2 linked regions of the Arabidopsis thaliana genome follow. The protein of the gene in region 1 interacts with the protein of each later gene in a pairwise test. Each region holds a gene or a part of one and is shown on either strand. Other genes may lie near its edges. The genes, in order: AT2G14510 and BASL.

Evidence for each region.
Region 2: the proteins of AT2G14510 (region 1) and BASL interact in a protein complementation assay, tested with the Arabidopsis thaliana proteins (one large-scale study listed by BioGRID).

The regions. Positions count from the first base shown.
Region 1 is NC_003071.7:6,173,383-6,177,315, forward strand, and holds the start of AT2G14510 (Leucine-rich repeat protein kinase family protein), read right to left. Parts: upstream 1,714-3,933; 5' UTR 1,695-1,713; coding exon 1,589-1,694; intron 1,479-1,588; coding exon 935-1,478; intron 842-934; coding exon 366-841; intron 173-365; coding exon 28-172; intron 1-27.
Region 2 is NC_003076.8:24,488,004-24,491,936, reverse strand, and holds BASL (breaking of asymmetry in the stomatal lineage), read left to right. Parts: upstream 1-2,100; 5' UTR 2,101-2,233; coding exon 2,234-2,321; intron 2,322-2,401; coding exon 2,402-2,769; intron 2,770-2,871; coding exon 2,872-3,003; coding exon of another isoform or gene 3,004-3,042; exon of another isoform or gene 3,043-3,086; coding exon 3,087-3,178; intron 3,179-3,275; coding exon 3,276-3,384; 3' UTR 3,385-3,648; downstream 3,649-3,933. UniProt on the Arabidopsis thaliana protein: Regulates asymmetric cell division (ACD), especially in stomatal-lineage cells, probably by modulating accumulation and subcellular polarization of POLAR and SPCH.

The sequences.
Region 1 (3,933 bases):
CAATATGTACAATATAAATTTTCTTACAATGAGATGATTCTTGGTGGTGTGGAGATATCTATAACGTTGCAGCTTACACCCATCCATGAAAACTGTTTAGGTACACATGGATCGCCCTGCCAGCTGATTCTACTCAATTGATAAGTTGATTGAATTTTCTTGATAGCAATGACTGGCAAACAAAAGAATCAAGCATAAAATATGCCGTATTTTATTACTACTTTATTCTTTTGAATAACTAAGAGGTTCTGAGCCTAAGCACGTACATCCTCTTAAGCCGTAGACTAAAGCATTTAATATGGTTGTCTCCCAAGTGCCAACTTATTACGTTTTATATATGTGCATAAAACTACACGGCTACATACCTTCATCCGTATTTGTGTCCGATTGTGGAAATTGTATGACGCTAAAAATCTCTATAGCATTCATTAGTGGTGGTAGAGTCGACTTCGGTGTTTTTGACAGCTGCACACGACATACCCCTCCCTCGCATTTTAGTGGTGCAGGGTTGGATAAGGTTCTTGCTTCAAACTTCCATGGAGTATAATCAATGTAATCAACACCATTCGCCAAAATTTTGAATTCCCTAGTTTCATTGACCTTTAATTGTTGGATCTCAGCAAAGAAAAGGTAAGCATAAGTTTCGTCATCAGAGGATTCCAAATTCCATGTAAAGGTCAATGGCTCGCTGCCATTAGTGGGTATGGAGGCGGTCTGAATTACACCTTGTGGCGGATTGTAGCCATCCGAAAAGCCACTTACATTCCGGGTTGTGTTTATTTGAGTCCATTCCGGTTGTGAATATGGCATCCAAACACGATCATAGACATCTTCGGGATAACTGCGACACTCAAGTATCAAGTTTATGTCAATGAGCAAAAAAAAAAAACACATGGTACTAAATATAAAGTATTCTGTTATGTTGTTGACATACCGTATTGCCTCGTCTGAATTGGTGAAGTAGAAGTGCGCCATACTCTTTAAGGAACCGGTTCGAGCAGTATAAGTATCATATCGCAAAGGTCTTAGTTCTATGGCTGATATCATTGGTGTACTTGTCCCTGTTTTGACGAGACATATGTCCAAGATGTTAGACCTTGTGACGTGAACGATCTCCTCGACAACTCCATCACCTACATCCGCTATTAGCACATCTACGCTTGTCCAAATATTTGGACCGAGAAAGAGGTCAAATCGCGGAGAAGTATTAAGACCGTCATAGTTTCCATAATAGAAAAGAGTCCTGATTAGATACTTTGTGCCTTGCTTCACACTCAAACTGTAGCAGTTTCTAATTCCATCCGGAAAGTATCTCAAAACCTTGAATGGCTTAAAGATAAAGTTTGTACGTGAGTTATTTTGGATATTACCAGTTTTTCCTCCTCGGATGAAATTGACATCTGATATGAATGTTAAATTACTCGATGGTTCGATATAAGATTCTTTAGACGGTAATCCGCAATCCAAACTGATGAATCCTGGTCAAACAATAAGTAACAATCGGAACAAGATTTCTTTTGTTTGAGATAATTCATATATCAAAAACATGAAGGAAACAAAATGAAAAAGTGTAAAACAGTAAAAATACCTTGTTGATTTTGAGACTTAACAAGAGACATAATGGAGAAAGTGGCACAAGCGAGTAGCATAAACTTGTTACGAGTCTCCATTCTTGATTCTGTTCTACTTCTCATTTCTCAACCAAACAAAAACTCAAACACACCAAAAAGTCTTAACACATTATATTATGAGAACTTAAAGTACAAAGTTGACAATGTCAACATATGGACACGTCACTTCCAAATAGAAAATGAGCTAAATTAATATCAGTGGCTGAAAATAATAACAGTCTAAAATAATATGTTTAAAACCTAGTTGTTGTCATGGAAGTGTAATAAATTAATATTAGTTTGGAAAGTTTAATACGAAGAAATTAGAAGTGCTTTGATATTTGATAATTTGGTTTAGGTTCAATATATACAAAAAAAAAAAAACATTCATAATTGATAAACACAATATTTTGTCCCATTAGACGGTTAGAAAATAAGATATTTATGTTAATTAATTACTTATCAAAGTTCACTATATATTGTATAATTAGACTTTATATATTTTCAGTTTTTTTTAAAACGTAAAAATATATTTTCTATTAAAATAATAGATTTTATAGCTTTCAAATTCTTTCTTAAAATGAAAAAGTATATTTGCTGCTTATGTTTTCAAATACTTTTTTAAGCAGTAAACATACATGCATGATTATATTAGGTTCGTGGTCCAACCCTGTATGTATGTTTGCTGCTTTCAAAAACAATTTTTCTTTCTTTGTTGTTAAACAAATAACAAATTTTCATGTACAAAATATTTTGTTGGGAGTATAATGAAATTACACATTACATCAAAACTTTTTAAAATCTCAACGAAAAAACATTTACATACTACAACCAACACTTTTATATAATTTTGACGTGACACACTTATAAGATTTTATACTCCCACTTCGAAAAAGTCTTACCATAAGATCCCATCAAATTTATTCTACTTGGCTGAGACGATTAGTTCAACATTGGACGTGCCTTATTTTTATTGGTACATGCATGTTGATATTTCCGATTAGGATCCATCTCCAACAATACAACTATATAATTAAAATTTAGTCTTCTATTATTTATCTGTTTTCTATATATCCATAAGTTTGATTATTATTTGATTTTTTCTCAAAGGGATATTTATTCATAAACCAATCTTACAAACCGGGTGAACCGGATAACCTAGTAAACCGGTACCCACAACCCCTTCAGCGAAATATGCAAACAGAAGCTGACACAATTTCCAGCGAGTGAACAACCGGAAACATCTCCGGATTATGAAAACAGACAGCTATTAAACCGAAAAAGATAAAGGATTCAATTTAATCTTCAAATTCTTTCTCTTCTCATCACTGGATCTTTTCCGAAAACAAAAGCATGAAAGAAGTCGTCGACAAACAATCAACGACGAGGTGAAGCTTCTGATCTCTTGTCATCACTTGCTAATAAGAATAGACTTTGGAAATTGATACCTTGACTTCTTGGAATGGCAAGACGGACCTCAAATGAGGTGATTGAAACCGTCAAAAACGCCGGACCGTTTCAACTATAACGGTTGGAAGGAGCCAAGCAACCCATAATTCGCCCAGATCTGAATTTTGATTCATGTGGATGAGACTAAAACAGTCGCCCAATCGAAACACCAAAACACTTACCTGATTGTGGATGGTGGTGGGACAGATCGAGAATAGACCATGAAACTTTCTAGTTAGAAAAGAAGAAAAAACTGATATCAAATTGTTTCGCAAATCAATTCGGTGAAACAAACACAACGGCAACAGAATAGCCATGAGAACCGCCGGATACACCTGATGGCGAGATAGGACAGCGAGATGGATCGACAAAACCGGATCACATCCGGATTCATAAGCCGGTAAAGCGTACCGGACGGCTAAATCTCGATCAAAATCTCTCTCTCTCTGAAAAGTTTAGAGAGAGAAGAGAGAGAGAAGAGAGAGAGAAGAGAGAGAGAGAGGTGTTTTTAAAGTGGGACTTGATATATCCCTATTTTCACTGATTTCATCTATGTTTTAGGTATAGGATTTTGAGTCTTTATGTTATTTCTCGAGTCTTTTTAGTGTCTTTTCAGGTATTCTATGCAGTGGGACGATAATGGAGATAAGGAGACATTTTGGAGCAAAAGATAAGAAAAAGGAAGTTAAAGACGATTTTGAGTTCCAGTTTCAGAGGAGTGTTGATCGACACACTCCTGGTGTCGATCGACACCAGTTTCGGCCCAGCAAAGTCCATGACGCTTTCAAGTTTACAGAAGAGGAAATTTGCCCCAGAAGACTTCCCTATTTGCATTATTAGTCCCTGAACATTTTATAGGGTTTTTATATTGTTT
Region 2 (3,933 bases), on another chromosome or scaffold:
ATTGCTCAAAACTCCTCTCGCTATTTTTATTTCTGTGCAACAAAATATATCCACCTTTCTCACTCCGAAACTTTTTTTTTTTTTTTTTCACTCAGAAACTTTAATTTCACCATATAATTTGGGGTTTAGAGCAATTTTTTTTTTTTTTTTGGTGTGGGTAATACACGCCTATTGTGGTCGTATGACCCCCCCCCCCCCACATGGCCACATGGTTTCCTTTTCACGTCTCTTCACACTCAACCACGAGGTCCACAATCGCACATATGAGTATATATGACCCATGCACCGGTAATCTAAAAGAGATATTAAAAATAAGAATAATTACTTAATTTTAGTAAATATTAAATACATTTTTAGCATAATTATATACATTTATAAACTAAATTTAAATTTTATATAAATTGAGGTTTATTCGAGTTTGGTTAGGTTTATTTGATATAAAACTTTATGTACCGTCCAGGTTATCATAAAATTATGTTCAGTTTTCATTGATGAATTTCTGCTCGTTTTTGTTTTTATGCCCACCGGCCATGATCTTCACAATCACTTTATATTTTGAATTATATAAAGATTTGGGTCATTTTCATAGAATTTGAATCGAAATCCAACAAAGCTCAGAAAATTGTAGAAAATCAGATATCTATTGTAATTTAAGATGGACCAAACAATGAAAATCTGTAGTTGATGGAATTTGATCATCCTAAAGCCACATGAGATGATAGTCTTTCATCACTCAAGAAGGCCAGACCAGTAAACTACTACAGGAGACTCTTTACATAATGAGATTCGAAAAACGAGTCTGTCGTAGGCCATCCAGCAGATCATTCATATAAAATTAGATCTCTTGAAAGATTTTCTTTACATCTTTTCTAATAAGGAACTGTAGTTTTATGAAAGAGGGACCTTTAAGAAATTCCATAAATTAATGAGGACACATGTCTCAGCTTATATGTCTATAAATTATAGAATATGTATGTATGCGATACTCCAAAAAAGAAACAGAGTGGAGGTAGTTAGATGATATTTGGCAGCTAGCATAAAATGGTAAACAAATGAAGCGAAAGATTTAACACATTTTCTTATTTAGTGTTTGGTGTATATATAGTACTCGATTATGCAAAGCCACACTTTACAACAAATCATGTTTGGTCGTGAATCATGTGCTTTATAGTGGACCCTTCTATTTTATACGCCCATGCATTTCATGTTGTTGAGTATATGTGGTCTTTTGCCCCCCCCCCCCCAAAAAAGGAATAGAAAAAAAGAAGAAGAGTATGTGCTCAATCTAGTAAACAAACGCAACGAAGAAGGTGAATTTTTTCTGTTAAAAAAAGATATTCAAAAGAAGGAGAAGTTCATGTTATATAGAGTTGAATTCAAAAACAAATAACGGTTTCTGATTAAGTTTTAACCAAATATATTGAATTTATCAAACATGAAACAACGTATTAGCAATTAACATGCCCCCAATCATAAATCTCTAACAAATCGCATGGACACATAGAAAACAGAACTTTTGAGGGTTGTAGCGAGGGTAGACCTCAATGTCCTTGTAGCTGCACATATTAGGACTCAATTGCTTGCAACTTACTTGGTGACCACACTGACAACTATCGGATCGTTGACGATTAGGCACAAGCAAAAGGTGTACATCAAGTGGATCTTAGTCTTACTACTCTTTTAATCAGATAATCTGATAATGGGCTTCATATATATATATATGGGCTCATGAAGATTCCTTGGTTATAATTTTCATTTAAAATAATAAATAAATAAAAACTCATTTCAAAAACTCTTTTGCCACCATAAATGACATCCATGTCTCTAGCCAACGTTCCATTGGCTATGCCGTCTGCTTGACACACGAAAATTGAATTAGTAAATTGAAAGATGAAAATGGAAAATGAAAAAAAAAATTGAATTTCATATAGCAGTGTTTAATAACTATGATAGCATTTACTGCCCAATTATTACAATTCCAGAATAAAAATGTTATTTCCTTTTATTCCAATAATATTAAATGCATTCATGTGTTGCACATTGTAACCCCCCTTCCCTAATTCATGGCAATCTATTTCTTGTCTCCATTTTTTTTTTCAAATTTCAAATCATTCTTCTCCCTCATAATAAATTCTTTATCTCCCTTCTGAAAACATTTCTTGAAAAAGCCAAAACACTCACACTCATAAAAAAAAGCTATTTCTCGTGACAAAGAAACACAAACATAACAGCCATGGCTTCACAGTGGACAATACCAAAACTTGTCACTTGGAGAGTCAGAGATTGGGCTTCTTGTTTCTTGGCTTGCAAGATTCCTCTAGGTCTTCTTCTATTCTCTTCTTCCTAATTTCATTACTTTTTTCAATCATTGTTAAGTTATTTTACCGATTATATGTATCAGACGGAGATGAAGATGGAGCTAATAATAATGGAAACACTACGAACAACAATAATCTAACGTTCAAAAGGATTAAGAGGAAGATTAAAAGTACTAAGAAGAAGAGATCAGAGAGGAAACTCAGCCTAAGCCCACCAGGTACACGTCATCATCATCTTCATCTAAGAAGCAGTAGCGTTTCTCCGACGACGTCGGGGTCTCAGCACCGGCGCTTGAGCTGGCCTCAGCCCCCTGTCTCAGAAGAATCTGGATTCATTGTCTTCTGCTTCGATCGCGAAGATGGTGGTTTCGATGTGGTTAAAGAGGGTAAACAAGAGAAGAAAGAGACGGAATCGTCCTCGGAAAAGTCACCGAGGACGGTGAATCGTAAGGTTCGTTGTCCGAAAATCAAAATTGTTTTAAAAAGTTTTGACCTTTTTAGTTTGAAACATAGCAAACTACAAAGTTCTTAATGCTTTTATTTTCAAGAACAGCTTATATATGGAGACCAAGGAGTAGGAGGAACAGAGAAGAATAACTCGCCGGAGACTAAAGGGACAGAACAAGATCAGAACGATAACACTTCATGTCAAGGAACTAAAGATGTCTCTAGTGATGTTACAGAAGTAATGCTTCGTAACATCTTTCAACTTCAAAGTATTTGAGAATTTAACATTCTTATTTATATATTGGTCTTTGACTGTCGCAGAGAACCAAAGAAGAAGAAGACATTGATGCCTCTGATAAATCTAGCGGGTCTAGTCACTCAGATGAAGGAAGGGGATCTTTTGCATTTCCCATGTGAGTTTCAATAACAACAAAAGAGTTTATAACATTTTTTGTTTGGAAATAAATGTTTCTGATAATTTGTACAATTTGGGATTGAAAATTAATGCAGATTAGGAGTAGAGTGGATGGGGAGTCCTGCTAAGATGCCTGAATCAGATGACTTGTCTCCCAAGAAACAAAAGCCAGTTGCTTTAGGGTTCCAATGTTGTAGATTCTGAAAAAGATAACATCCTACAAGTTTATCCAATTCTTTTGTTTTACTCTGTTTCTGACTTCAGAGTAAAGAAACACTCTTAAAGGACATAGAATCTACAATCTTGATAAGACACGAATTCAGATGAAATCATCAGTATCCTCATGTCTTGATGGTTACACATATCTATATATCTGTTCTGAAATTTGAATGTATGTCAAGAAAAATTAGTGTAAATTAGTATCAAAACTCAAAAGATAGAAGTGACTACAAGTAAGTATCACAGCTTCAACATACACTACTCTTGCTTTTTCCATAAAACAAGAGGTGAATCTTTTAAATTTTGAAACTTATGCAAATTTCAAAATATTCAAAGTAATAGAATACTAAAATTACCTCAAATTTCAAGTTAGATTTTGAGTTTCCCTTCTAAAACTTTCTGCTCTTTCTTCACCTTGTAACTAATTTAGTACTATACATATTTAAATATTTTACACAATTTTGGGCAGTAAATCTGGCATTATATTTAACGATTATAAAAAGAAAAGAACTTATTATAGTCGTTAAACTTAAA